Linked DNA regions of Kluyveromyces lactis. The protein of the gene in region 1 interacts with the protein of each later gene in a pairwise test. Links are inferred from orthologs where the notes say so. Each region holds a gene or a part of one and is shown on either strand. Other genes may lie near its edges.

Region 1 (3,631 bases):
GGGGGTGTAAGACCTGAATCAGCTACTACTGACCCCGATGATGAATCTATTTTCTATGAAGATGATGATGTGGATGAATACACGGAGACTTCCACTATTGTACTAACAGTAACGCAAACAGCCAATTCTGCCCTTGACTTGAAGGCAACGCCTAGTGCATCTGGTCTTATTGTTGACGAATGTGATATGTCTATGGAAGAAATGTTAAGAAACGACTTTATGTCCTGGAAAATAACGATTGAAAACAAACTGTCAAACACTATGAAAGATTTCGAAAATGATATCAATGAGTTCGCTCAGGAGAAACTAGATCACATTCAACCTACTTTGGCAGATCTATTGAAAAGAGCCAGTAACACTTCACAAACCAACTTCCAAATAATCACTAAGGCCATCATGGATGTAAATTGCACTGAAAGTGTGGATCCAAAAACCAACAAAACCATATGGTTCGACCAAAACAATACCCAGCTACCTAAGTACATGACCAGAGAATTAATGCGTGAATATTTCTCGGCAGCACATTCACAATTCGATGCACTATCACAAGAGATACGCGCTCATCTACGAAAATTGGCAGACGAAGTGAACGATCACGTCGAAGTTCTCCGCCAAGAGAACGTCGAGCTGTTTGAAGAATGGGCAGATGTGATGATTACAGAATGGTCTAAGAATCTAGCCTACGTGGACGTGGCTGTTAACGAAGAGAAGCTGGCAGACTTAGAAAAGGAACAGCGTAAGAATTGGAAAGACTTCATGAAGTTGAAAAGACAAGTGATTAAGACAAGAGATACATTGATGGAGCATCCAGTGAAGCTTGACTCTCTACAGTCCTTTGTGAACACAGTACAGCAGTCGTTGAAGACGCTCTCTCATGAAAACGGAGAATATTTGTACATTTTGAGAAGTAAAGCTAATCTAGAGTTCCAAGCACGTGAGGCTTTAGAGCGACAGCAAAGAGAGAAGGAGAAGGCAGAGTCCGCTTCGATGAAAGCATCAACTGAATTCGAACTCTCTTCCTCTTCCTTTTCCTCTTCCTCTCCCTCCACTGCATCTTCATGCACTGCATCAAGTACCTCTACTGCTTCCTTACTCGCTGTGGAAAAAACTATCGCACTAGAAGACCTGCAATCCTATTATCAAAATGTATCAAGTACAGATTCTCTGTAACGCACTGTAACATTTCCCAGCATCATCTAATGCTGTACGTGCAGCGTATATAATAATATAGTATAATATGTAGTTTAATGACATAACTCAACTGTTACCCTCCTTCGGTCTGTGCATGTGCAAAATTAAAATTAATCCGCTGTCCAAACTAAACGAGCACATGTCCAGAAAAGGAATTTTCAACGACTAAAAATCAAGTTTCTCCAGTAAAGTAAGAAAGACTTGCCACTCAGAGCTCATCGTTCAAAGGACACCAAACTGTTCAAATCAAGGCATCGCCTTGTGAAAAAAAAAGTAAAAAAAAAAAAAAACTGGATAAAACTGAAAAAAACGAAAAGGTTCAATCTACCGAGTATATAAAAGGAACAGAAACACATTTGGCAATTACGTTGGATTGGGATATTCATAGATATAGATTCCTTACGTACTTTTTGATTAAAGTTAATATTAAGGTTTAGTTGTTACGCAAAAGCACACACCACATATACAACACAAGAACATACATATAAGATGTCTGCTCCAGCTCATAATTATAAGGTCGCTGATATTTCTCTTGCTGCCTTTGGTAGAAAGGAAATCGAATTGGCTGAACACGAAATGCCAGGTTTGATTGCCATCAGAGAAGCCTACGGTGCTGAGCAACCATTGAAGGGTGCTAGAATTGCCGGTTGTTTGCACATGACCATTCAAACTGCTGTTTTGATTGAAACTTTGGTTGCCTTGGGTGCTGAAGTTACCTGGAGTTCTTGTAACATTTACTCTACTCAAGACCACGCTGCTGCTGCCATTGCCGCATCTGGTGTTCCAGTCTTTGCTTGGAAGGGTGAAACCGAAGAAGAGTACTTGTGGTGTATCGAACAACAATTGTTCGCTTTCAAGGACGACAAGAAGTTGAATTTGATCTTGGATGATGGTGGTGATTTGACCAGTTTGGTTCACGACAAATACCCAGACATGTTGATGGACTGTTTCGGTTTATCTGAAGAAACCACCACTGGTGTCCACCATTTGTACAGAATGGTTAAGGAAAACAAGTTGAAGGTCCCAGCTATCAACGTTAACGATTCCGTTACCAAGTCTAAGTTCGACAATCTGTACGGTTGTAGAGAATCCTTGATCGATGGTATTAAGAGAGCCACCGATGTCATGTTGGCCGGTAAGGTTGCTGTCGTTGCTGGTTACGGTGACGTCGGTAAAGGTTGTGCTGCTGCCTTGAGAGGTTTCGGTGCTCGTGTCATTGTCACTGAAATCGATCCAATTAACGCTTTACAAGCTGCTATGGAAGGTTACCAAGTCATCCCTATGGAAGAAGCTGTTTCCTCCGGTCAAGTCTTCGTCACCACCACCGGTTGTAGAGACATTATCACCAAGGAACATTTCTTGCAAATGCCAGAAGATGCCATTGTTTGTAACATTGGTCACTTCGACATTGAAATCGATGTTGCTTGGTTGAAGGCCAACGCCACTGAAGTTATCAACATCAAGCCTCAAGTCGACCGTTACTTGCTACCTTCTGGTAAGCACGTCATCTTGTTGGCTGATGGTAGATTGGTTAACTTGGGTTGTGCTACTGGTCACTCTTCCTTCGTTATGTCCTGTTCTTTCTCTAACCAAGTTTTGGCTCAAATTGCTTTGTTCAAGGCTCAAGACAAAGCATTCAGAGAAAAGTACATCGAATTCCAAAAGACTGGTCCATTTGATATCGGTGTTCACGTTCTACCAAAGATCTTGGACGAAGCTGTTGCCAAGTTCCACTTGGACAACCTAGGTGTTAAGTTAACCAAGTTGTCTGACGTTCAATCTGAATACTTGGGTATTCCAGAAGAGGGTCCATACAAGGCTGATCACTACAGATACTAAGCTGAGTTCATCTAAGAATATCTTATCCGAATCATCAACAGTAGCGTATTGTAGCCTACTTCGATCTTTATGGATATCTCATTTTTTTCATTTGCTCATGCTTTTACAATCAGTCTGCTAGCTTTTCTATGGATGATGACTTTCCTTCGTGATTGTAATAATCTTTTAAAATAACCTTTCTTTCTATTAGCGGTTTCACTCAACTGAATTCCTGCAATAAATTGCACATTGGGTATTTTACATTAGCGCACCATCATTAACATTTTCATTAACATATCAAGCTCATAAATTGTAACTCTCAGGCGTTCTCTCAGTGAGATATTAATACGACTGTACAATGCTTGGCATTTTTTTTTCATATTATCTTTCAATGAGTATTAGATACAGAATCTACACTCTCATTTAATGTACATATCACTTTATAAATTACTTACTAATAACAGATCTTCAACGGTTAATTCAAGCGTAGAACGCCCACATTTCTGCAAGACCTTAACATTGCATTCAAGCCTGTACAGTATAAATCTACACATTGCACTTGCATTGTCGAGTATCATATTGGTGGACTTTGTCTTGTTTTTTCTGCTTAGGGTAACTGGGA
Region 2 (3,067 bases), on another chromosome or scaffold:
TGATGTGTGTTCTTGTATCTCATTTTTATCTTTGTTTTCTTGTTGAGTATTATCTTCAGCTTTCTCGGTATTATCGTTGGTAGCTACGTGTTGATCATCCTGATCATCATCATCATCATCATCACCAAACAATGAATTAGTATCAACATCATCGATATCAGCTGCATCTCCGTTGCCAACTACATTATTGCTATCGACATCAGGATTGTGTCCACTCAAGTTAGGCTCAGGAAGTTCGTAGGCGGCATTGGTGGGTCTGAATTCTAATGAAGACAACTGTGATGTAGCATTGAACTTGGTTATATCAGTTCCTGTTTCCAAATCCCATTCAATGACGGTTTTGTCCCAAGAACCCGATAAAAACCTAGTTTCCTCATCATTAAGTACAAGATGGTTAACGATGGATTTATGACCTTTAAAATAGTGTGCAGTCCTCCCTTCAAAATATCTAACACCCTGCATTACGATACCGCCAGTTTCTTGTCCGGCTAGTATGAACAAACATTCATTTTGAACCGCCAAGGAGTGGACAGGTGAGACGAGAGGAAGATACTCCGACTTTTGTTTTACCCATTTTACTTTTGACGGAGGTTGCGGTACTTCATTCTCCCAATAAGAAGTCAAGATACCCGCATTGACAATTGAATCCACCAATGCGTTCTTCTGCTGAATAGTTAGTGATAGCTTACCATCCACAGTATTTAAGAAGTCAAACTTCCTTATAAACCCGTCTGACCCACCGAGAAATAGATACCGTAGACCCTTGGACATGGTCAATGCCTGTACATTAGTCTGTATTGGTATTGCTGCAGTTGGAAGTATATTATAAGATTCTGCTACAGATGCAGATCTATAAAGAGTCGTATAATATTGATGTATCTTATCCAGCTTTGACATTTCAGTAGATTTCCCATCTGAAGAAGATGGAGAATCCTTCTCAGAAGTTGCGGATTCCTTTTCGGCACTCTCGGCATCATCATCTCCAATTTCGTGGGTATTAGATTGTTTAATTTCCCCCGTTCTCGTGCCCTCTTCACCATTCTCTGTCTGTTCTTCATCTTCTTCCTCGTCATCATCGTCATCATCGTCATCACTGCGTTCATCATCATCATCATCATCATCATCATCATCCTCACTTCGATCTTCAGCATCTTCGTCATCGCTCCGATCTTCATCCTCATCGTCGTCATCATCGGCATCTTCAGCATCTTCATCTTGTTCTTCCTCGTCCATCGGCTCGTCCTCTTCGGCGTTCGGAACATCCACATCTACATCCTCCAATTCATCGTCCATGTCAACATCATCATCTTGAGTATTTTGAACGTTATTTTGATTCAAGATTTCATCCACATCATCATCCATATTGGAACGTGGCTTAGGTGGGAAAGGACAATGTTTTGTTGTGATGTGTTACAGTGTTTCCTGTCATATTCACTGTGTCCTAAATTCGTACAGACAGGTTTATTTTGGTTGAAATCATTTCAATATCAACAGTTTTATTTTCCAAATATCAAATTGAATCAGAACACTTTCAAATGGAGACAACAAGATAACGATCCTATTATACACTGGCGGAGCTTCTAATCACCGCTCAATCGGTATCTAACTATAGAACAAGTCACTCAAACCTTTGAAAACTACAAGCCAAAACAAATAATGGCCTCGAACGACCTAGCAGTGGAAGTGCACGATCTAACGTACGCATTCCCCGGAAGTAAACGCTCAGCAATCCACGATCTATCGCTAAGTGTCGAATGGAACAAGAAAGTCTTAGTGGTGGGTAACAACGGTGCTGGAAAATCTACGCTGTTGAAACTACTAAGTGGTAAACATTTGTGTCTCGGTGGGAACATAAAAGTTGGAAACAAGAACCCATTCGCACCAAACAATGACCAGGAGTCCGTGATACTGACTACTTACTTAGGCACTGAATGGGCTAGTATGGCTATTGTACACAGGGATATAGGAGTCCTGGAACTCTTGGAGAGTATCGGACTAAGCCACTACAGGGCTCGAGGTGAAGAGCTAGTGAGAATCTTGGAAGTGGATATCAATTGGAGAATGTTCAAACTTAGCGATGGCCAAAAGAGACGTGTACAACTGTGCATGGGTTTATTGAAACCCTTCAAAGTTCTGCTATTAGACGAAGTCACTGTGGACTTGGATGTCGTGGCACGTGACCGTCTATTCCAATTCCTGGATCGAGAAACGAGAGACAGACAATGTAGCGTTGTGTATGCAACGCACATTTTCGATGGGCTAGCACCATGGGCTGATGAGATTATCCATTTGCAAGATGGCACCATCACAAGAACGTTGGATTACCAACGTGATATCCACTTTACAAAGGAAATAGAGGGCGTCCAAGAGCGAAAGGACAACGGACGACACACCGTGATACTAGGCTACATGAAGAGTTTATACCCGCTTGCACTCCACTGGTTGACCAGAGACCAAGTCGAAGACCAAAAGCTTTGATTCAACTTCTAAACGGTCAAACCGATATATGTCTGTAATATACTATATATACATAATCAGACTTTAATCATACACAAAGCGAAAGATAAATCACGTGAGTAATATATCGGTCCATTGCCTAGGTTCCCTCCCTTCCTCGTTTAAAAAACGTAATGCTGCCAATCGTATAACGTCGTTTACGGGATTTCGCCTCGAGGGAACGAAAAGAATGAAAAGCATAATACGAAGCGAATAAAAAAAAACAGTTAGGAAACCCCAGAAACTGCCGTACCAGAAAGGAAACTGGGTGGTGCTGAAATGTGCATCAAAGCCCAACTGGCGACAGAAAAACAGGCCACAACTTGCGAAAAGTACGCCGTAAACACTCTAGAAGAAAAGAGCTAGTCGTATAGACTAGCTGTGATAACGGTATGAACGGCTTGGTTTCGCAAGCCAATGCTTATTGAAGAAATGGACCGATGAGGCTCGATACTCTTCGCATTCTATCGTTAAAACTCGGGTTTTTTATCGTTCAATTTGGTTAACTTCGTGAAAAAAAAGTTAAAAATGAAATCGTGATATTTTCTATACACACTGATATATAAATAAT

What was found.
Region 2: the proteins of SAH1 (region 1) and CAF16 interact in binary tests that used the Saccharomyces cerevisiae proteins (3 or more experiments, as listed by UniProt). The link is inferred for Kluyveromyces lactis from reciprocal best matches to the Saccharomyces cerevisiae genes SAH1 and CAF16.

Annotation. Positions count from the first base shown.
Region 1 is NC_006037.1:109,479-113,109, forward strand, and holds SAH1 (adenosylhomocysteinase), read left to right. Parts: upstream 1-1,680; coding exon 1,681-3,030; downstream 3,031-3,631. Other genes in the region: KLLA0_A01177g (uncharacterized protein), read left to right, coding at 1-1,170. UniProt on the Saccharomyces cerevisiae protein: Adenosylhomocysteine is a competitive inhibitor of S-adenosyl-L-methionine-dependent methyl transferase reactions; therefore adenosylhomocysteinase may play a key role in the control of methylations via regulation of the intracellular concentration of adenosylhomocysteine.
Region 2 is NC_006042.1:820,383-823,449, forward strand, and holds CAF16 (putative ATP-binding cassette family ATPase CAF16), read left to right. Parts: upstream 1-1,656; coding exon 1,657-2,478; downstream 2,479-3,067. Other genes in the region: SAGA complex subunit SPT8, read right to left, coding at 1-1,362.